Canis lupus familiaris: one gene and its partners. The protein of the gene in region 1 interacts with the protein of each later gene in a pairwise test. Links are inferred from orthologs where the notes say so. Each region holds a gene or a part of one and is shown in the gene's direction. Other genes may lie near its edges.

Region 1 (7,867 bases):
GTTTATAGTAAGCACTATACATGGATTGGGTATTATTGTTACTTTATAATAAAATGTTATTGGGAGCACATCAGGTGGAAGGAACAGAATATTGAGTGACAGTTAAATGCTCTCTGTCACACGGGTTTAATATTGGTTATTCTGGCCACCCAGAAGCACTCTAGAGGAATCTAGATCGGCTGAAAAATAAGTCTCAGTCTTAGGGCTAGCAATACTTTAGCCAAGCAAGCCTTTGCACATCATCTTTCCAGTAGACAAAGGTTGAAGAGGGATAAAAGGCCTAAAATAAACGGTGGTACTTGGGATGCCTGGGTGGCTCAATGGTTGAGCGTCTGCCTTCAGCTCGGGTCGTGATCCCTGGGTCCTGGGATCGAGTCCTGTATCGGGTTCTCCACAGAGAGCCTGCTTTTCCCTCTGCCTATGTCTCTGCCTCTCTCTGTGTGTCTCTCATGAATAAATAAATGAAATCTTAAAAAAAAAAAAAAAAAAGGTCATCACTCTGCCTTCCATGGTGATGTTGTCTTGCTAGGCCTGTCTTCTAACAGCACGCCAGAGGAATGGCTGCAACCTGGAGCCATCACTCTTGAGGACACACCTGTTTTGGACTGAGGATACCTGCCCTTGAAGATGATTCTCTAGAACTTATGCTCCAAACCACGCAGGGTTCTGTATCACGGCTCTCCCTCAGCTATTCAGTTAAATACTAAGTTTCTAGAATCTTTCCCATCAGATAAAAGCTGCCCATACCTGTGGTTTTCTTTTGCTTCTCACAGCTAAAAATGAAGAGGTATAAATTCTAGCTTCAATCTACCAATTAATGAAATTTCATGCAAATCACCTAAAACCTGTCTCTGCCATAGTTTCCTTAAGCATTAATGAATGAATGTAACATAACAACTAATATCCTGCCTATCCCACAGGATGTGGGGCACAGGCAAGGATTCATTTGTTAACAGAGTTCTGTGGGAAAAAAGTTTAGAGGACTATGTCAATTCAGGACATAATTTCTTAATGTTTATCCTGATTTTTTCTGTCCAGAACTCTATAGTTTACAGAGCCCGTGCTTAATCTTATTCAATCCTTATAACCAGCAAACAGTAGGTCCAGAGCTAAAAAGGGATACATCCCCCGAAAACTCACTTCTTTAGGCTCCTACACTAGTGCTCTTTCCATTAACCAACCGCTGCTTCCAGATTCCTGCCACATAGTCTGTCTTGGCCCCAATCTAATATTCTATGTCTTATTTCTAAACCGAGACTTTCAGTTTGCTTAAGTGGCCAGTTGACTGCAGGGAACTCTATCCCACTAAAGCCATCCCCCTTCTCCATAGACTTCAAAGTGGAGTAGAGTGTACAAAGAGGTGCTCAGATGTGCACAAGAAAAATATTTAAGAATGCATGCACAGAAGTATTTAACTAGAGCAAAAATAATTGTTTAAGCTTTACCAATACCCATCTTTAACCTACAGGCCGACCTGGCACTCTCTCTGGGCCAGTGCTTCAGAAATCATCTGTCACGTGCAGTGCAGTGAGTGAGATGTTTCCAGGAACGAGGGGTAATGCCACATACAGTTCAGACATTCATTTTCTTTACAATGTAATGCCAGTCACCAGATAAAAACAAGCCTGTTAATTGCTACAAATTTGACATTTCTTTTATTTTTATTGTTTTGACATTTCTTGGTAAAGAAAGGGAGAATGACCATGAAAATCCTTGTTCTGCAGATTCACTGGTTATCTCCAGGGGGAGGCCCAACAAGAGATATTGAACACAGAGGAGATACACTTTTTACTTTACAACATCCTGTGTTGAGGATTAGCTGGCAAGAGGTTAGTAGCACTGATTTCAAAAACAAACAACAATCCACTTAATCTATTCCTTCAAAGTGAACATGATGGTCTTTTAATGAGTGAGAGTCATGGCTTTTCTAAAGAAAGTCACACATATAGAGAAAATGGTTAGAAAATGTATGACTACCAATGTTCCCAATATCGTGATTTTAAAAATTTATTTCTCAAAAACGATGTGTGTTACCTGGAAAAGCTTTTTATTTTTTTTAATTTTTTGTAAAAGCTTTCTAAAAATATTTTTTTATTAAGTAAACTCTATGCCCAGCGTGGGGCTCTAACTCACAACCCTGAGATCATGAGCTGCATGCTCAGGCAGGTGTCCCTCCCATTAGCTGTAACACTTTTATGTGCACATTTGAAAAACTAAGAAATAGAATTCGAAAAATTTTTAAAGATTTTATTTGTTTATTCATGAGAGACACGGAGGGGAGGGGGGCAGACAGGCACAGGGAGCAGCAGACCCCAGGCAGGGAGCCTGATGTGGGACTTGATACCGGGACCCCAGGATCACGCCCCGGGCCGAAGGCAGGTGCGAAACCGCTGATTCCCTAAAAATCTGTTTTAAATGAAACTTCTTAGAGAGTTTGGTCCCACTTGTTAAAATTATAAAATCCAACACTTTCCTATCATTCAAGGACTAATTGACTTAAAATGTTAATTTACTAGTTGAATTTCAATGAAAACCTTTGCTTTGTGGTGAATGGATGGGAAAATGAATGCCATGATTTAATAAATACAATCAAGGATGCATTTCTTCCATTTTAATCTAGCTCTTTGAAGAGTATCTCTTCTAGTTATGACAGCCAATAAGATTCACTAAGTATGAATTTAAAAATGTACTTCATCGTGGGGCGTCTGGGTGACTCAGTTGGTTGAGCTCCAAACTCGATCTCAGCTCAGGTCTTTTTTTTTTTTTTTTTTTTTTCAGCTCAGGTCTTGATTTCGGATTGGGGGTTCAGGCCCTACACTGGGCTCCATGCTGCAAGTGGACCCTACTTTAAAAAAATGTACTTCATCTTTATTTTGGTCTTTTAATATTCCTACTCTAGGGTATGTTTCATAAGGTATGTAATAAAACACATGCACAAAATTATTTTGAAATATTCCATGTGGGACGCCTGGGTGGCTCAGCGGTTGAGCATCTGCCTTCCGCTCAGGGCGTGATCCTGGAGTCCAAGGATCGAGTCCCACATCGGGCTCCCTGCATGGAGCCTGCTTCTCCCTCTGCCTGTATCTCTGCCTCTCTCTCTCTCTCTCTCTCTCTCTTTGTCTCTCATGAATGAATAAATAAATAAATCTTTAAAAAAATATTCCATGTATTAAGAAAGCACAATCAATGTTTGTTGATCACTGGTTGATCTATCAGCACAGAGGGAGGGTCCACACTTGGGAGAATCATCTCTGCCAGTCATATGGGAACAGAATAAACAATAGGACAATGACAATTTGGACCGTGGTGCTTCAGATGCCAGCGGACCACCTGTCTTTGCAAGTTCTGATCTAGGAGGTGGTGGGGATGGGGAGAAGGTGATGGGTCTTCCTTTTATTTGTCAACTTGTACCTGGTATAATTTAGGGGAATCTCCTGGGTTATTCCAATGGTCAACCAATGCTTATTAGGTTCTTTTTTCCTCTTGCAATTTGCAAACCCGGCCCTGGTAACATATTTGGGGGCACTGAGCTCTCCCCTCGCGGCTCGCGGTCATGTGCGGGTCAGGACAGTGTACTGTACATACACTTCCCCCAGGAACAGTCAAGGTGGTGTGGGAGGGAGAGAGCACAGCAAACACAGCACCGCCTGCAGAGCATTTTACCATCGCCTCTACCTAGGCAAGAAGACAGAGCTCATTCCCCCGTCCTAATAAAAAAGTTTCCTTTTTATCTTGTTTTTAACTACAACGGCAGGGACCTTCTGACTAATGTCATGTTCCTTGGAAAGATTTAGGAACTGTGATTCTATGAGAGGGTTTTATGAAAACAGAATCGGCCTCGAGAGGCTCTTCATTGGGTTGGGAAACGCTCCCGGGCGGGTACCCAGGTGCCCCGCGCAGCGGCGGAGGGTCAGAGCCCGGGGTGTGAGCCCCCCGGGCGGTGCTGTCGGACGTGGGGAGAACACGGGGAGCCGGCCGGTTTCAAGGGCTCCCGGCACCCAGGAAGGAGGCCGCACGGGTTTCTGGAGGAGAAGGTGAGCGCAGGGGTGGGGAGCGAGCGAGCCGCGGGAGAGAGGCGCGCCCGCGGGGAGGGGGCCGGCCGGCGGGCAGGGGGCAGGGACACAGACAAAGGGGGGGCGGCCCCGGGCCGGGGAGGGGGGCGGCGGGGGCGGCGCACGCTGCCGGGGCGAGCCGGGGCCGGGGCCGGGGCCGGGGCCGGGGCCGGGGCGGCCGGCGGGCCGGGCCGGGAAAAGCCGGGGATCCCGCCGCGCCCGGGGCCGGCTAGGCCTCGCGGAGGGAGGCAGGCGCGCTAGGGGCTGGGGGCCGCGGGGGGAGGGCGAGGGGAGGGGAGGGGAGGGGAGGGGAGGGGAGGGGAGGCCCCGGATGGGGGAAGGGCCGGGGGAGGGCCGAGAGGGAGGGGGGAGCGCCCAGGAGGGGGAGGGGAGGGGAGGGGAGGGCCCCAGGAAGGGGGGAGGGTCCGGAGTGGCGCGGGGGAGGGGGAGGGGCGCGGAGGGGAGGGGAGGCGAGGAGGGCCGGCGGGGGGCGGGCCCGGGGGAGAGGCCTGCGGGCCGCGCCGCCGGAGCGGGGCCGGAGGGGGCGGCGCGGGCACGGGCGGCCGGCCGGGCCTGCGCCCCGAGGAGCGGTGCGCCGAGGGGGAAGGGCCCGGAAGGAGCCGCCGAGCCGCCTTCCGCGCGCGCCGGGCCGGAGCCGAGGGCGGCGGGCGAGCGGGCGAGCGGGCGAGCGGGGCGGAGGGGAGCCGGGGCCGGGCCCCGCGCGGGCGGGAAGGCGGGCGGCGCGGGGCAGAGCGGAGCCCGCGGTTGATGGCGGCCGGGGCGCGGGGCACGGGGAGGCCGGGGGCCCGGCGGGCGTGAGGCGGGGGCGTGGGCTCGCCGAGGGCTCCCTCGCGGGCTCCGCGGTGAGCGCTGCGGTGGTGGTTGTCGAGGCCGCAGGCCCGGCCCGGACTTGCAAGGCTGTGGCGGCGCGGCGCGAGCCGGTGCCTCCTCTCGGTTATCCGCCGGCCTCCCTGCCCGCCCCCTCCCCCCCCCGCGCCGGTCCGGAGCGGCCCTCCGCGGCCCTGGCGAGGCGGGCGCCGAGCTGCCCAGCGCGGGGCCGGGGCCCGCCTGCCGGAGCAGCCCCGCGGGCCGGGACCCCGAGCATGGGCTGCGGCGGTGGGCCGCCCTGAAGGCCGCCGGGTGCAGGGCGCGCTCCTCGGTGATTCATGCCTTAGCCCGGAGCGCTAACCTTGAAGAGATTTGCGGTTGGGTTTTTGGTTTCTAAGAAGGTCATAGCTTTTCCTCTTTTTTTTTTTTCTTTCGGTTTTTTTCTCCGACGGGGGAGGGGCCGGGGGCTGAGAAAGGACAGCATGCTCGCTGGCACAAGTAGGATGGAGCCTCGGTTCCCAGGGTCCTGAGAGCCGGCAGGGAGCGTGAGCATCTGGCCCGGAGGTGGGAGGCCCTCCTCCCACGGTTCTTAAACATTGCAGCTCACCCAGCCCGGATCAGGACGTCAGAACTGCAGGATCCTGGCTCTGCTGAGACCCTGAGAAACCATGAGTGTGAGGTTGCCCCAGAGCATAGACAGGTAGGTGTACTCACGACGTGCTTTCTGACACTCTCTTACCCAAAGGCGGGGGGGGGGGGGGGGGGGAGGGAGGGAGGGAGGGAGGGTGCTGCATTTCGGTAAAAGGACGCAGAGGAAGGGTCCGGCTGGGAGCACGGGCCTCCGGGGACTCTCCCGGCATGTGTGTTTACGTTCCCTCCGTGTGTCCATGTCCTGATTCAGTGTTTTTTAAATACCAGCCATCAACAGCAAAGCCAGGAGAGGAGAAAGGGGGGAAGTGCTTCCCTCAGTCTTTGACTTTTGCCCTACTGCAGGCTGAATTTGGGGCCGTGACTTACCAGTGTGTAGGGGGCGGGAGGCACACACGCTTGATCACGTGTGTCCCCAGGGTGGATTGGGACTGGCCTTAGGTGTTGAGCTGCTGGGGGAAGGGGCCTGGCAGGGGTGTGGGCCTCCACCGGCAGCTTTGCTACATGGTGGGGTTTGGTGATAGGGTGGATTCCATTTCTAGAATGAAGAGGATGTTCTTGGCTTGACGGATGGGACAGAAGCACCCTTTGCGCCCATCCAGATCTGGCTTTTTGCCAGTGAGTTATTGATGATGGCCCCCAAATGCGCGGTCGCCTTAGAATTTCTCCCTCTCCGAGCTTAGGGTTTTAACTTGAGACCTGCCAACCGGTGGATGCTCTAAGGTTTAATCTTCCAAGCCATTTTTAATAAGCTTGACTCTGCAAGATGGGCCATCCCTCTGCCTAGAGCCAGAACGGGTTGTGCTGGGCTCTCAGGCCTGATGGGCAGAGGTGCTGGTTCTTGGAGTGTGAGCCCAGGATCCACCCCTCCCCTCCCCCCAGCCTCTGCATCACTGGTACCACCACAGTTTACAACTTTGTGATGCACCTGCCTTCCCACCCCTACTCCAACCCTTTCTCAAGAATCTTGAGAGAGGGTTGTTTGGAGGGTGCTACACACATCCTAACTGGATGGATGGGTGGTTAGAGGACTGAGCAAGCAAATGAAAACCCTGGCTTGGAGACAGTGTTGCTGGAGAGGCAGGGAAGAGCAAGGAGCGGTGGCGTCTCTATGCCAGTTAACCTTTGATTATACATGCTAGTAGTAATTTCTTTCAGGCTATGGAATGTGGCCTAAGTATAATCCCTCCCAAACGCTAATCTCTGTATTGTCTCTGAGTCCCTGTTAGATCAGTTTGGCAGTCTCCCACCGGGGACCTGACTTGGCAGTGGGGAGAAGATAGCCACAAAGGACGTAAAGTGTGTGTCCCTTCCCCTTGTCATTGGTTTCCCTGTAGTTCATGTCTTGTAAAGGGAGGCCCAAGGTGCATCAAGGCAGGGAGGTAACATGGTTACATAGCTACCTTCTCTTTTTGTCACACTGGAATTTGGAAATTCGTGTACCTACCTGCCTTTTGTGAGGTGTGGATGATCAGTGATTTCTCTGAAATCAGGGATGTGAACAGATGAAAACCCAGGTTTGGGGGAGCAAGAAGGAAACCATGAGGGTTCCGGGGCTGATGGGAGATGCTCCTCTGGAGTTTGTATATCCTCCTAGACTGCTCGGGATTTATGGTATGGGGCGTCTCCGCAAGTGCTTTCACAGAACAGGTCTCTTCTGAGCTTCACAGCATTTCTGTGAGGCAGACAAAGTGGAGGTTATTATTCCCGTGGTCCAGAGGGGGTCCTTGAGGCTCAGGGAGGGCACCTAGCTTGCCCAGTGGCATCTGGCTGGACTAGTGGCAGAATCTGAGCCTAGTTATGGGTCTTCTGACCCAGGTTCTTTGCTAACCCCATGCTGGCTAACTGGGTTTGTATATTGGTCCTGTGGAATGTGGTTTTCGTGTCTCCTTTTGACAGTAGGATAAGATGCTCTTCGGTAGTCCCTTTGCACTTGTCTTTTTTTTTTTTTTTAAGGTTTTATTTATTCATGAGAGGCACAGAGAGAGAGGCAGACACACAGGCAGAGGGAGAAGCAGATGTGGGACTCGATCCTCAGATCCTGGGATCATGCCCTGAGCCAAAGGCAGACGCTCAACCGCTGAGCCACCCAGGCGTCCCTGCACTTGTCTTTTTAACAGTCTTGGGGCTAGCACCATAATTCCTATAGTAAAGCACCTGTTTCTCCTGTGGGCTGATGGAGCTTTGCAGATTGAGAGCGTTCCTCACCCCTGCCCCTACCCCAGCTCTCTTCCCCATCAGAGGCTCAGGTCTCTTCCAGATATCTTACCCCTTAGGCTGCAGGCTCATTCTCCTGGACCTTTTGACATCTCAGGTTCAAGACTGTGGATTTTAAATTA
Region 2 (7,073 bases), on another chromosome or scaffold:
GGGTCATCCTGGACCACAGTGCCATCTAAGCCTGGGCCTCCTCTGCTCACTCCCTGGGGTTAGGAGAATCATCTTGGTGATGTGATCCCAACAGTGGCCCTTCAGCACTCCATCTCTCTCCTTGCCAGGTGACCATGCCTGCCCTCGGCCCAGCTCTTCTCCAGGTGTTCTGGGCTGGGTGGGTTCTCACCCTCCAGCCCCCTCCACTGGCTGTTTTTACTCCCAATGGCACGCATCTGCAGCATTTGACACGGGATCCCACCTCAGGCACTCTCTACCTAGGAGCCACCAACTTCCTGTTCCAGCTGAGCCCTGGGCTGCAGCTGGAGGCTACCGTGTCCACGGGCCCTGTGCTAGATAGCAGGGACTGCCTGCCACCTGTGATGCCAGATGAGTGCCCCCAGGCCCAGGCTACCAACAACCTAAACCAGCTGCTCCTGGTGAGCCCAGGGGCCCTGGTGGTGTGCGGGAGTGTGCACCAGGGGGTCTGCGAGCTGCGGCGCCTGGGGCAGCTTGAACAGCTATTGCTGCGGCCCGAGCGCCCTGGGGACACCCAATATGTGGCCGCCAATGATCCTGCGGTCAGCACAGTGGGACTGGTGGCCCAGGGCTTGGCTGGGGAGCCCCTCCTCTTCGTGGGGCGAGGCTATACCAGCAGGGGTGTGGGGGGTGGCATCCCTCCCATCACAACCCGGACCTTGTGGCCGCTGGACCCCCAAATTGCCTTCTCCTATGAGGAGACGGCCAAGTTGGCTGTGGGCCGCCTCTCTGAGTATAGCCACCACTTCGTGAGCGCCTTTGCACGTGGGGCCAGTGCCTACTTCCTGTTCCTGAGGCGAGACCTGCAGGCTCAGTCTAGAGCATTTCGTGCCTACGTGTCCCGAGTGTGCCTCCAGGACCAGCACTACTACTCCTATGTGGAGTTGCCTCTGGCCTGCCAGGGTGGCCGCTATGGGCTGCTTCAGGCTGCGGCTGTGGCCACATCCCGGGAGGTGGCCCAGGGCGAGGTGCTCTTTGCAGCCTTCTCCTCAGCCGCTCCCCCCACTGTGGGCCGGCCTCCGTTGGCAGCTGCCGGAGCATCTGGAGCCTCTGCCCTCTGTGCCTTCCCTCTGGACGAGGTGGATCGCCTTGCTAACCGCACACGAGATGCCTGCTACACTAGGGAGGGCCGTGCCGAGGATGGCATCGAGGTGGCCTATATTGAGTATGATGTCAACTCTGACTGTGCACAGCTGCCGGTGGTGAGTCCCAGCTGATTCCTGTCTGGCATTCACAGCCAAGCAGCTGCCCGAGGACTCTGAAGGGAAACTAGTGGTGGTGTGGGGGCTGATCAGGTCAACGGAGGGAATGTACTTCCATTGTGCCTGGGTGGTGGAGAGATACCTTACTGAAATTGTGGCGCTCAGGTTTTGGAGAGCCATTCATAGCTGGGCTTGGACTGGGCTCTGTAGAGGTGGTGTTTGTGTGGGTAGACTGAGGGTGTTTGGGGTCCTAGGGTATGGGGCAGGGACCTAGAATGTAGGGAGTTAGGCCCTGTTTCAGGTTTTTGAGCAAGAGCCTGGTGAGGTTGAGACTTGTTTGGCTCTAGCTTCTGGATGGATAACACAGGGAAGAAGCCCCACCCAGGGGGACTGAGTGAGGGAAAGGTAGTAGGGGCCTAGGGGAGCAGACCTGGACATGAAGACACAAGCTGGTGGACAAGGGGAAGACTGAGTGCATAAGCTGGGGTTGGGAGAAGGTGGAACTCCAGATGGGTGGGGATCAGGGGCAGGGTAAGGAGCTGCTGGAGCCTGTCCAAGGCAGCTGAGGCCACGCTAAGGATGCAGCTGTGGGCAATGTCAGGGAGGGCTGGCAAAGAGACTGGGTGGGGATGGGGCAGTCTATGGTCTCCCGAAGAGAAGGGTGAGGGGATAAGGCTGTCCTGGAGGCCCAGCAGAGGAAATAGAATCATTTAGGGAAAGCTGGCTGGGCCAGGGGATTGTGATATCCAGGGAGGGCCTTATTAGTCTTGCTGCCTGTAGGATACCCTGGATGCTTATCCCTGTGGCTCAGATCACACGCCCAGCCCCATGGCCAGCCGTGTCCCCCTAGAAGCCACACCCATTCTGGAGTGGCCAAGGGTCCAGCTAACAGCTGTGGCAGTCACTGTGGAGGATGGACACACCATTGCTTTCCTGGGTGACAGTCAAGGGCAACTGCACAGGGTGAGTCCACAGGAAGTACTGGGCTCTGTCCCACGATAAATTGCTGGTGACCAGCCTGGGCTGAACTATGCCTCTGACCCCTAAGGCTGGGATGAAGGATCTGTGACACACCCCTGGCCCCAAGACTAGGAGAGATGACTTATGCTTCTCTTTCCAGGGCTGGGTGGTTTTTATCTATGACTTCCCCATCCCCTCCCCATGGGTTGGGTGGCGTGACCTGTACTGCCTAGGAGAAAGTTCTGCTTGTAAATTGCTTCAGTCATGGGGAGAGGAGAGGGTCTTGGGTCTGTGGCCATGGACTTGGGTACCAGAACTTGTGGTCTCTGATTTCAGGTCTACTTGGGCCCGGGAAGTGATGGCCACCCATACTCCACACAGAACATCCAGCAGGGGTCTGCTGTGAGCAGAGACCTTACCTTTGATGGGTCCTTTGAGCACCTGTATGTCATGACTCAGAGCACAGTGAGTACCAGGCGAGAGCTGGGACCTGGCTGCTGGGAAGGGCCTTGGGCTGGGCCAGGGACCCATGAGTCACTGGTGTTTGGATTGCTGTCATAGCTTCTCAAGGTTCCTGTGGCCTCCTGTGCTCAGCTCCTGGACTGTGCATCTTGTCTTGCTCACAAGGACCCATACTGTGGGTGGTGTGTGCTTCTTGGCAGGTCAGTGCTCTACTGACTCCTGACCCCGATCTATCCCCCAACCCCAGCCTCCTGCCCTAGCACTGCACCTGCATAACTGCCCTGTCCAGTATTCCTGGTCCTTGACCCTTGACTTACAACCCTTGAGCCTTGGATGCCCTACTCTCCTTCCTGCATCCTCCATCCTGGACATCAGAGGCCTGCCAGGGCAGATGTAGCCTAGTGTCACGGCCTGTCTGAGGATCCTGCTGAGGTCCCCAGTATTGGAGGTGCCCTCCCCCATGAAGGTGGATCCCCATCATTCTCATGCAGGTGTAGTCGCCGTTCCGAGTGCTCACGAGGACAGGGCCCAGAGCGGTGGCTGTGGAGTTTCCAGTCTGAGCTGCGTTGTCTGCGAGTGGCAGTTATAAGTCCTGCCAACATCAGCCGAGAGGAGCGGAAGGAGGTGAATGAACAGAGCAGGCGCATTCCTCATAGGGAGGGCTCTGGTGATGGGTCAAGACTTTGAATTTTAGTGTCAGTGGCTCCAAATACCACATGGCCTTATATGAGTCACTTCCCGTTGGACCTTGCTTTCTGTTTCTAACCCAGGCTAAAAGGCAATTGTGAAGGCTCAGGACCCCCAGCCCTTGGGGGCTGCCTGCCCTTGAGCCTGCTTACATTGGACACCCCAGAAACAAGCCCTGGTCTGCTCCAAAAGCCTGTTGTGGCCTTTCTTGGCAGGTTTTCCTGTCAGTGCCTGACCTGCCACCCCTGTGGCCAGGGGAGTCCTATTCCTGCCAGTTTGGGGATCACCAGAGTTCTGCCCTGCTGACCAGTTCTGGTGTGATGTGTCCTTCCCCAGACCCCAGTGAGGCCCCAGCACTGCCAAGAGGAGCCGGTGGGTGAGAGAAGGGGCCAGCCTCCGGGGCCTGGGAGCCCCACCCTCTCATCTTGCCCCAAGGGGTGCATTTGGGGTGAGGTGTGAATCTGGGCTGGGAGCCCTAAAGTAGCACCTTTCTCTGAGTCCCCTGGCTAGTCCCCAAGTCCCTAAAGTATCCATTTTGTGCCCTGTGGACTTCCCCAGACCCTGGGCTCTCCTCCCTGCTGATGGTGCTAACCCCACTCCGGGGCCCCTCTCTCCCGCTTTGCAGACCACGTGTCCGTGAGCGTGGAGCTTAAGTTCGGTGCTGTGGTGATTGCCAAAGCTTCGCTCTCTGTCTACGACTGTGGAGCAGTCACTGAGCTCCACCCGTCTGCACAGTGAGTTCCTCCCCAACCCCCAGCACCTGGGCTCCCCTGTGGTGACCGCTGCCCCATGGCTGTGCTCTGTGCAGGTGCCAGGCCTGTGTGAGCAGCCTCTGGGGGTGTAACTGGTGTGTCTGGCAGCAGCTGTGCACGCACAAGGCCTCATGTGACGTCGGACCCATGATTGTTAGCCAGCAGGTGAGCAGGACCTCTAGCCGGGCCCCACAGGGTTGTGTGGGTTTCTCTGATGGCCCAGGGTCTGTGCACCTACCCACCCGCGGGCTGCTGTGTGTGGCGGACTCACTGGAGTTTGAGGAGAGACGTTTGTGGCTGAGCGGCAGGGGAGGTCTGGGCCTCATGCCCCACCTCAGCACAGATGCCCCTGGAGCCTGCCCTCCCCTCTCTCCTTTGGAGAATTAACGGGCTGTTTTTGTTTCTCTTTCCCTTGGTCTCCTTTCCTCTTAACACACCCTTTGCCTGCCTGCCACCTGCTCCCACGCCTGCCTGCTGAGTGGCCCCTCCTGTCTTTCTCTGCCTCCCCCTTCAGAGCCTGCTTCTCTCCCCAGCCCCTCCAGCAAGAGATGTACCCACCCCCTTCCCATCCCAAAACCCCCAGGCCCCTGTCACCCCTGCTCCTGACCCCCTTCCCATGGAACCTGGGGCCCCTTCCACAGCCACAGCCTCGGATGTCCCACCTGGGGACGGGCCTTCCCTGCTCAGCCCCTGGGGGCCAGGGACAGGTCCTGGTCCCGTACCTGCCTCAGCCTCCACAGAGTCACCTCTCCATGAGGAACCTCCCCCTCCCGACCCCCCCAACAGACCTGGAACCGCTGTCCCTGCCCCCACTGACTCCGGACCCATGGCCACACCCGAAGACCTCTCAGCCTCCCACCCATCGCCCTCAGATGCAGCAGCACTGCCCCCTGCCCCTGCAGACCCCGGCCCCGAGGCCGACCCCTCTGCGGCACTCCTGGACCAGCCCCCCGGCACTGCTCCCGCCACTACTTTCCCAGGGGCCGCTGGCTCCGTGAAGCCTGCTCTGGACTGGCTCATGAGAGAAGGCGGCGAGCTGCCTGAGGCGGACGAGTGGACAGGGGGTGACACACCCGCCTTCTCCACTTCCACCCTCCTCTCAGGTGATGGAGACTCGGCTGAGCACGAGGGCCCTCCTGCCCCCCTCATCCTCCTGTCCAGCCTCGACTACCAATACGACACCCCCGGGCTCTGGGAGCTGGTGAGGCCCAGCCCAGGAAGGAGGCCTCGGGAGGGGACGCAGGGCAGACTCGGCCCTTTACCTGCAATTCTGCATCTGGAGGGTTCAAGGGGCAGGGTGGGTTCTGCAGCTCCATGCTGGCCTGGGCCCCAGGTTCTGCATGGGGAATGGGTGAGTTGACAGGGTGGGCTCCATAGACTGCCTTGCTCTTGGTGTCTGCAGGAGGAGGTGAACCAGGGGGCCAGCTCCTGCCCTTGTGTAGATAGTGTTCAGGGCTCCACGTTGATACCCGTCCATGTGGAACGAGAAGTCCGGCTGCTGGGCAGAAACCTGCGCCTCTTCCAGGTGGGTGCATTGGGTTGCTAGTGTACTTGCAGCCTCCTTGGCTGTTGACCAGCCACACACAAGCCCTGGAGAGCAGGAAGAGAGCTTGGCCCCAAGTCTCAATCCCAACCCAGGGGCTCTACTAGGGGCCCTACGGGGCTCACTGGGCTCAGCTCCTACTACTGCCTGCCCTACCAGCTGTGTTCTCTGCCCCCAGGACAGCCCAGGAGACAATGAGTGTGTGATGGAGCTGGAGGGCCGCGAAGTGGTGGTTGAGGCCCGGGTCGAGTGTGAGCCACCTCCTGATACCCAGTGCCATGTTACATGCCAGCAGAACCAGGTATGGATTATGAATACCTGGGTGGGCAACATGTGCTGGCCACAGGCTGGCTCCCAACCTCAGCTGGCTCACCACACTCATCCTAGCCCAGCTGTAACCCTGTGACCTTGAGGGAGTCTGGGTAACCGGCTCTGACCTTTGACCCTATGTGCCTGAGGTCCCTGCACCTCAACTTTGACCTTGTGTTCCCGCAACTAGTCATTTTGGTCCCTTTTTCTGACCACCCCCTCCCCAGGCCTGATGCCTCCCCCAGCCCCAGGCTCTGACCTCATTCCCATTTCTCCAGCTCAGCTATGAGGCTCTGCAGCCAGAGCTCCGTGTGGGGCTGTTTCTGCGTCGGGCTGGCCGTCTGCGTGTGGACAGTGCTGATGGGCTGCATGGTGAGCTAGTTGGGGCCTCTGGGGGCCTGGGGCTCCTCCACGCCTGCCTCTCACTTTTGTCTCTGCTACCCCCAGTGGTACTGTATGACTGCTCTGTGGGACATGGGGACTGCAGCCGCTGCCAAACTGCCATGCCCCAATATGGCTGTGTGTGGTGCAAGGGAGAGCATCCACGTTGCGTGGCCCAGGAGGCTTGTGGCGAGACTGAAGCTGTGGCCACTCAGTGCCCTGCACCCCTCATCCACTCGGTGTGTTGAAACACTGGTGTGTCCCTTCCTCACCACTGCCTTTAGAGGGAGGGCGGGGGTACTGTGAGTCCAGGGGGCCCAAAGGTGGGAGACTGGAACTGCCTTTTCAGGCTGCCAAAGGTTGACTGGTGGGTGGAGGTGAGCAGTCCACCTCTTGGAACAGGTAGAGCCGCTGACTGGGCCTGTGGACGGAGGCACTCGTGTCACCATCAGGGGCTCCAACCTGGGCCAGCATGTGCAGGATGTACAGGACACGGTCAGGGTGGCCGGAGTGCCATGTGCTGTGGATGCTCAGGAATACGAGATCTCTAGTAGGTGAGTTGGCTGGACCAGTAGGAATTTAGCACACCTTGTAGGCTCCCTGATTGGCTTTCCCACTCACACCTGTCCACCCACTCCCTACTCATCTGTCCTTCCTTCTCCCCCTTTCCTTTTTTCTGGTCACAATGCCTCAGAACTAGGGTTGCCATTTGAAGCCTCAGAGCACTCACCTCTGCTT
Region 3 (7,654 bases), on another chromosome or scaffold:
TACACTATGTTCATGGATGGGGAGACAGTATTCTAGAGACAGCTAGTCTCCAAAGTAATTCAGAATTCAACAAATTCTCTATTTACCCCTTCAAAGAAATCCCAACAGACTTTTTCCTAAACCTTGACAAGCTGGGTTTTTTTTTTTTTTTTAAGTTTTAAGGAAAACTAAAGGCCCTAGAATAGGCAAGATAATTTTTTTAAAAGATTTTATTTATTTATTTGAGAGAGTGGGCAGGAGAGAGAGGGTGCACGCACAAGCCAGGGGAGAGGCAGAGGCAGAGGGAGAAACAGGCTCCTCGCAGGGAGCCAGATGTGGGACTCCATCCCAGGACCCCGGGATCACGACCTGAGCCAAAGGCAGACGCTCAACTGCTGAGCCACCTGGGTGCCCTGGCAAGATAATTTTGGAAGATGAGGAGGGGGAGCAACAATCTGACGGGGAAAGCAAGGAGAAGGAAAAGGAAGCCTTCAAGCTTTCGTAAGTGTAGTAGAGGCAGACAAAGACACCAAAGGGACAGAGGACAGAGCTGCCAGCCTCCCAGACCTGGGACAGGGCATGTGACCAAGGGCTCAGTGCACATCAGTGGACAGCCCTCCACATGGAAAAGGAGAAAAACGTGACCCCTACCTCACACCAGCTGCAAACAAACCCACTCCAGAGGCATTAAAGAGCACCTGAATATGAAAACCAATTTTATAATATTTAGAAACGGGGCACCTGGGTGGCTCAGTGGGTTCAGTATCTGCTTTCAGCTAGGGTCATGATCCTGGGATGGAGCCCCCCATCGGGCTCCCTGCTCTCGGCCTCCCACTCCCCCTGCCTGTGTGCTCACTCTCTCTGTCTCGAATAAATAAATAAAATCTTTAAAGAAAATTGAGAAAAGAGACCCAGGAGACAACTTCTCTGACCTCGGGTAGGGGAAGATTTCTCAAGCAAGACTAAAAGCACAAAGCATAAAAGAGAAGAATGATAGGGGCAATTAAATCTACATTAAGACTTGCTTACCCAACGATGCCACTGGCAATCTGAGAAGACAAGTCACAGGCCCGGAGAAGACGCAACAGATCGGACACTGGTGCCCACACTGTACACAGAACCCGTCAGCTGGTGGGGAAAGACAACCCACATCAAAACCTTGGCAAAAACAAAAAACAAAAAAACAAACCCTGGCAAAGCCACGCTCGGGCATTTTGCAGCAAAGGAAGCATGGAAAAGCTCAACGGGACTGGTAGGCAGCGGATGACAAGTCAGAGCGCCACGAGGTGTCACCACCTGGACCCACAGCACGGACAGGAAGGACTAAGGAAAAGCCCTCGTAGCAAGTGTCGGTGACCATGCGGCCCACAGAAACGCGTACGCGGTGGCGGCGGCGGACGTGGGACAGCAGCTGGGACGATGCCCCAGCCTGGAAACCCCAAGTGCCCGCGGCCAGGGGACCCAGGGAGCTCCTCGCGGCGCCCCGGACCCCGGTGCTCACCCAGACGCTGGGCGCGGCAGCACGGGGCGCCCCGACGGATGGCGGAGGCCGCCCCCCAGCCCTTCCGGGGACGCGGGCAAGGCAGTGGCAAGGGGCCGGGGTCACCGCCCGAATCCTCCAGCTCGACTCCCTTTCTGTAGGAGGAAAGCCCACAAAGCCAGCGGGCGGCGTCCACGGGCGCCACCGCCTTGGGACGAGGGGCCCTTGCAGGCCACACGCACACACACCTGTTAAAAACCGGGTGGAGTGAGGGCAGGTTTCTTTTCTTCCGTGGAGAGGTAGGAAAGCTGTTCCCACCGCTGAGCCAGAAGCTGTCTTTCCTGACGTCACCGAGGACACACGTGGGTGTTAGGTGTGGACGGAGAAAGGTTTGGGGAGAGAGGGCCAGCTGTCTACGGGGTTGCTGAGGGCAGTCCTTCCCATCCTATGGGTCAGAGCCAGCCCCTCCTCGGCCCTCCCCAACAGCCTGCCCCGCCTGGAGCTTCTAGATCCTTCCCTTGGCCCCCTCTCGGCCACCTGGTCTTCCCCCTTGGAGGGTGCATGGCTGGAGGCAGTCACATCCACATCTGCCGGGCCTTTGGGCTCTGGGTCGCCCGCTTCCCGGGGCACCCCGATCTCCCCTCCGAGTTCCCACCCCATCCCAGTGCTCCAGTCACCTCGTGCTGAGCTTCTCACACTCAGACCCCAACGACTCCCCTGGCCGGCTCCTCTTGCTCACGGAGCCCTCAGTCCGCCCGTCCCTCCCCACACTGCCCACCCCTCTCCGCTGGCACCCCTGCCCTGAAGGGAGCAACGCTCCAGCAGAAAGGGCCCGGGGTCCCCTGGATTCTCCTCCATCCACTGCCCCCACCCATCCAACACCAGGCCTCTAGGATTCCGTCCCCTCCAGTGTATCTGCCACGCGCCCCCCTCTCTCCATGCCCACAGCCACCACTGCTCCACACTCCCCCACGTTCTCCACCCAGGGCCACCGGCTTACACTTGTCCAAATTCACAGCTATTTACAAGGTCGTGGTGACGTACGTAAGTCCAGGTCCTCCCTCATTTGCTCACCTCTGCACCCACCTCGAGCACGCCTGTGCTCCGGGCAGGGGGAAACCCCCGTGCGCGTGTCACCCGCAGGCCCTCTCCACTTGGTTCAGAGCTCGGGACCACGTGGCCCGATGGTGAAGTACAGGGGCCCTGCGGTGGACTCTCGGCCTGGCCACCAACTGGCCATGCAGCTTCCTAACCTCCCGTGCCTCCGTTTCCCCGCTTGTGAACTGGAGGAAATAACTGTACCCCCTCCGGGCTCATCAGAGGGAGCGAAGGGGTTAACGCACACGGAGAGCGCCCTGCTTGTCAGGAAGGCATCAGCAGGAGCAGAAGTGTGTGGTTCAAGGTCAGCTTCACTGTCCCGGAGACTAGGCTCCCCGCCTTGGCGCCCTCCAGAGGTGGGGGGTGTCCCCCAGAGATGGGCTCCTCCGGCAGTGGGGCCGCGGCAGGTGGCTCCGTCCCGAGGCCCGAGACCCTGGGAGCGGGAAGGCGCCGGCCCCAGCCCCAGGGCCCGCCCGCCCTCACCTGCTCGGCCAGGTGCCCACCAGGGCCGGCAGGGGGCAGCAGCGCCCCGCCCTGCCCCAGCAGGCAACTGGGCGGGCGGGGAGGGGCTGGGCAGCCCGGCAGGCCCCGCCAGGATAAGTCGGGTTGGGCGCGATTGCATTGTGGGGAGGGAGGCCGGGGCTGCGCCGGGCCGCACTTCTGGCACTGCCAGCTGCTCCTCACCCCTGCCAGCGGCCCACCCAGGTAGGCAGGGGCTGGGCTGGCGGGGGCGCGGGGGGCCGGGGCCGCCGCGTCGCGGGGCACCGCCACGGGCCGTGCTGGGACCTGGGAGAAGCCAGGGGTCTGCAGAGCCGCCTCGCCCGACAGGGCAAAGGCCCTCGGGCACCAGCCAGAGCCCCGGGACGACAGCCCCCGATGCCTCAGGGGCCCGGTACCCCTCCAGGCGGTGGCCCTGGAGCTGGGGGAGGACCCCTGGCTTCTAACCCCCATGGGAAAGCTCTCGGGGCGGGGGGCAAGGCATAGGGTAGGGAGGAGGCCCGCCTGGCTCCCCACCCCCACAGCCACCCAACCGGCCCAGCCAGGTGGCAGCGAGCCCCACTGCTGCCACCTCGTCCCGGAGCGAGCTGCTGGAGCCTGCCGTGGCCGCCGCCGCGCCACGGAGAAAGCGGGGACCCCAACCTGAGCGCACCTGCCCCTGCGCCACAGGCCGGAGCCCCTGCGCCGCCAGCCTCGTGGGCAGACGGTGCCCGGCGCGGCTGGCAGGAGACCAGCTGCCGGTCGCCACTCCCTCCCCAACCCCCTTGGCACCCCGCGCTCAGAGGGGAGCCCAGCATCCTGGGATGCTGCTCCCCTGGGGGCTGTGGGGGGAGGGAACAGCTGGCAACCATTGCCATGCCTGAAGCCAAGTGCTGAGCTCCTGGGGACCGGGCCCCTACCCGTCCCGTGCACCCCCTTTGCCTCGGCCCCTCCAGCAGCATCCTCCCCTGGCACTGCCCACTCCCATCACGCCGTACCTGGCACGATTTATGGGTCCCCCAGGGTGGGGCCGGATGGAGACAGGTCCCTTGCTCTCTGGCCAGTCTTATTCCCGGCCGAGGGGGCGGGGGGGGGAGCAGGGGGGTAGCAGGTCTCCTGGACGTGCTGCCTTCGTCAGCACCTCCCTGCCCCCAGCCCGGACAAAGGCAGGCATTGAGGGCCACGACTGGCACTTGGACCAGGCGCCCAGGCTACCAAGGCTAAGGCTGGCATGGCAGGGGCTCAGCAGCCTGACCTTCCCGCGGAGGCTCGGTGGCCTACCCTGCGCCCTTGGCGGGGACCCGGGAGGGGGACACAGAGAGGACCACGCTGGCTGGCACGGGGCGGGAGTGGGGCGGGGCGGGCTGTGTGGGTCCCATTTTTCTGGCTGGAAGAAACCCTGTCCTTTGTCCCCAGGTCCCAGGGGGTGTCTCTCTGGGGGTGGGGAGTGGCAGGGAGCCCCCTGGCCAGAACAGCCCCGGGGGTGGGGGGTAAGAGCACCAGATAGTGAGTCCCTGGCCTGGGCCCGTGGACAGAGAGGACATTGTTGGGGTGGAGGCAGGGCCCCTATTGACAAAGCTGCCAGCTGTGGTGGAGCCCAGCCGCCAGGCCCTTGGCCCCCCTGGCCTCACTCCTCCCTCAGGGCCAAGCCTCCACTGTCTCCCTCCCGCTCAGGACAATGCCCCCCACAGCCGTCTCGTGCCCGTCACCACTGCCCTGGGCCAGCTGAACTGAGGAGATGCGCCTCCCTTGGTGCCACACTGCCCGGGAGACCCCTCCGCTGCTCCCCTGCGAGGCGGTAAGTGTCTGGGGCCCCCGTCTACACGGATGTCCCCAGGCGGTCCAGGGCCGGGCCCGGCCCCGTAGCACAGGGGGGCCCGGGCGTGGGGCCCCAGATGCTGTCCCTCCACCCCCACACCCACACGCCCCAGACGCTGCTGCCAGTATCCCAGATCTAGAGGAAATGTCCCTGTCCTCAGGCCAGGCCTGACCTTCCTGCCTGTGTCCCGGAGATAAGGGGCTGGGGGCCCCCCTCGGGGCCCTGCCCCAGCTGGCACACCCACCAGGGCCCCGGCTCCGTCTCTGCTGCCAGGCTGCAGGGCGCAGACTGACAGTGGGCCTACCCCGCTGGCACAGGCGCACGTGGCCGGCTGTGCAGGACCCTAGCTCACGGCGGGCCCTGGCTTCTGTCCCCTTCTCCGTGGGTCCGTGCCCAGCAGCTCCGGCCGGCACGGGCTCTCCTTCTGTGCCTGTGGCGCCTGGTCCCCTAGACAGCCGGCCGGGGCCCAGGTGGCTGAGCGGGGTGGCTGCCCACGGCCCCGGCCAGCAGGTGGGGTGTGGGTCCACAGCAGGGGCCCCGCTCGAGCCTTCTCTGGAGGCTTGCACCCCCCGCCCCCCCCCGCAAGGCCCACGGGAGATACCCCTGTGGTGTGAACGAAGGGCTCCGCATGGGTCGTGGGGGGGTTGCCCCCTCCTCAGCGAGGCTCGCCCCTCTTTTCTCTCATGCCTCCAGGTCAACACCCCCAGGGGCTGGGGCCCACAGGCCTCCCCCTGCACCCCTCCCCACCTCCCCCAGCCCCCGCTCTGTCTGGCTCTCACATCTCCCCCCACCCCAGCCCCTGCTCTGCCCCCGCTGCTGCGGGCGGTCTCCGCCTGCCAGTCTCTGGCTGCCTCAGTTTCTCCCTGGCTGTCTCTCCCATGCCCCGCACTGCCTGTCCCCACCGCCAAGGGTCCAGTCTTTACAGCTGGCCCTGCCTGCCCAGGCTGAGTTTTCTCTCCCCGCCTTTGATGTCCCCTGCGCTACGGATGCCCCCCCAGCACGGTGGCCTCCTGCCTGAGTGGCAGGCACAGGATCCCCGTGACATGCCTTCCGCCACCCTTCCTGGTCCCGCATCCTCGTCCTTGCCCCCCCTTCCCTTCGCCCCACCCCCTGCCTCCCCTGGTCTCTCCCCATCAGCACCTCTGGCTTCTTCCCTGCCTCTCCCACCGCCCTTCTGTCCGCGGGAGTCCTTCTGTCCGTGTTCTGCGGCTGTCCGGGATCTGCCCCTCCTCCAACCATCTAGATGCAGAAAAAGTAGGAGATGAAAGCATTTCTTTCCTTGGGCACACGTGGGGGGGCCCCCCACCCTCTCCGCCTCTCGGGCCCTCCCTTCCTCCGCGTCTCCCCCTGTCTGCTCTGTCCTCTCCCTCCCTTGTAGCTGTCCCTCTCCCGGGGTCTTCCCTCCCTCTGGGGCTCTCTCCCCGCCCCCTTCCTCTGGGCCTCTGGCCGCCCTGGTGGCGCAGGCCGGGGTGCTCTCCCCGCCAGGCCTCACTTGCTCCGCGCCCCCCCAGGTGCCTGCGATGGCTCCCCGGCCTCCCCTCGGCCCCCACCTCCTGCTCGCGCTGCTGCTGAGCCTGCCGCCGCCCCCGACGCGGGCCCGTCACTTCTCGGCCCCCAACGCCACCTTCAACCACTTGGCACTGGCGCCGGGCCTGGGCACGCTCTACGTCGGTGCCGTGAACCGCCTCTTCCAGCTCAGCCCCGAGCTGCGGCTCCAGGCGGTGGCCGTCACCGGGCCGGTCCTCGACAGCCCCGACTGCGTGCCCTTCCGCGACCCGGCCGACTGCCCGCACGCGCGGCTCACCGACAACGCCAACCAGCTGCTGCTGGTGAGCGGCCGCGCGCGGGAGCTCGTGGCCTGCGGGCAGGTGCGCCAGGGCGTGTGCGACAAGCGGCGCCTGGACGACGTGGCCCACGTGCTGTACCAGGCCGAGGACCCCGGCGACGGGCAGTTTGTGGCCGCCAACGCGCCGGGAGTGGCCACGGTGGGCCTGGTGGTGCAGGCGCCGGACCGGGACCTGCTGCTGGTGGCCCGCGGCCTGGCGGGCAAGCTGTCGGCGGGGGTGCCGCCCCTGACCGTGCGCCAGCTGGCGGGGCCGCAGCCCTTCTCGAGCGAGGGCCTGGGCCGCCTGGTGGTGGGCGACCTCTCGGACTACAACAACAGCTACGTGGGGGCCTTCGCGGCCGGCCGCTCGGCCTACTTCGTGTTCCGCCGCCGCGGGGCGCGGGCGCAGGCCGACTACCGCTCCTACGCGGCCCGCGTGTGCCTGGGCGATGCCAACCTTTACTCGTACGTGGAGGTGCCCCTCGCCTGCCGGGGCCAGGGCCTCATCCAGGCCGCCGCCGTCACGCCAAGCACCTTGCTGGGGGCATTCGCCGCGGGCCCCGGCGGGGCGGGCGCCGCCCTGTGCGCCTTCCCCCTGGCGCGGCTGGACGCCAGCATGGAGCACGCGCGGCGCCTGTGCTACACGGCGGGTGGCCGCAGCCCCGGCGGCGCCGAGGAAGCCACCGTGGAGTACGGAGTCACCTCCCGCTGCGCCGCCCTGCCCGCCGTGAGTGCCCCTCCCGCCCGATCCCTCCGCACGGTCTCGGGGAGCTGCCGCCGTAGTCCCGGGCTGCGGGTGGCCGGGCGCTGTCGTGTGACAGCCGCGTGTGACCGCCTGGGTGGAGGATGTCAGGGAGGCGCCGGCTCCCGGCTGCCCTGGGCCAGCTTCTTCTGGTGTTTCTTCCTCCGACGCGTCGGCTTGTCCTGCCACGGGTGGGGGGGGCGCGACCACTGTGGCCCGGATCCCCCAGGGCTC

The links.
Region 2: the proteins of ARHGEF11 (region 1) and PLXNB1 interact in a two-hybrid assay, tested with the Homo sapiens proteins (2 studies listed by BioGRID). The link is inferred for Canis lupus familiaris from reciprocal best matches to the Homo sapiens genes ARHGEF11 and PLXNB1.
Region 3: the proteins of ARHGEF11 (region 1) and PLXNB3 interact in a two-hybrid assay, tested with the Homo sapiens proteins (2 studies listed by BioGRID and IntAct). The link is inferred for Canis lupus familiaris from reciprocal best matches to the Homo sapiens genes ARHGEF11 and PLXNB3.

Annotation. Positions count from the first base shown.
Region 1 is NC_049228.1:40,989,232-40,997,098, forward strand, and holds the start of ARHGEF11 (rho guanine nucleotide exchange factor 11), read left to right. Parts: upstream 1-3,670; 5' UTR 3,671-4,034; intron 4,035-5,287; exon of another isoform or gene 5,288-5,482; 5' UTR 5,483-5,548; coding exon 5,549-5,580; intron 5,581-7,867. UniProt on the Homo sapiens protein: May play a role in the regulation of RhoA GTPase by guanine nucleotide-binding alpha-12 (GNA12) and alpha-13 (GNA13). Acts as guanine nucleotide exchange factor (GEF) for RhoA GTPase and may act as GTPase-activating protein (GAP) for GNA12 and GNA13.
Region 2 is NC_049241.1:41,072,005-41,079,077, forward strand, and holds part of PLXNB1 (plexin-B1), read left to right. Parts: intron 1-128; 5' UTR 129-134; coding exon 135-1,241; intron 1,242-2,021; coding exon 2,022-2,204; intron 2,205-2,537; coding exon 2,538-2,666; intron 2,667-2,762; coding exon 2,763-2,863; intron 2,864-3,154; coding exon 3,155-3,287; intron 3,288-3,565; coding exon 3,566-3,722; intron 3,723-3,975; coding exon 3,976-4,084; intron 4,085-4,158; coding exon 4,159-4,267; intron 4,268-4,616; coding exon 4,617-5,303; intron 5,304-5,504; coding exon 5,505-5,627; intron 5,628-5,823; coding exon 5,824-5,946; intron 5,947-6,232; coding exon 6,233-6,326; intron 6,327-6,401; coding exon 6,402-6,574; intron 6,575-6,737; coding exon 6,738-6,889; intron 6,890-7,073. UniProt on the Homo sapiens protein: Receptor for SEMA4D. Plays a role in GABAergic synapse development. Mediates SEMA4A- and SEMA4D-dependent inhibitory synapse development. Plays a role in RHOA activation and subsequent changes of the actin cytoskeleton.
Region 3 is NC_049260.1:122,762,597-122,770,250, forward strand, and holds the start of PLXNB3 (plexin-B3), read left to right. Parts: upstream 1-3,108; 5' UTR 3,109-3,262; intron 3,263-4,589; exon of another isoform or gene 4,590-4,708; 5' UTR 4,709-4,772; coding exon 4,773-4,832; intron 4,833-5,990; coding exon 5,991-6,107; intron 6,108-6,364; coding exon 6,365-7,405; intron 7,406-7,467; exon of another isoform or gene 7,468-7,602; intron 7,603-7,654. UniProt on the Homo sapiens protein: Receptor for SEMA5A that plays a role in axon guidance, invasive growth and cell migration. Stimulates neurite outgrowth and mediates Ca(2+)/Mg(2+)-dependent cell aggregation.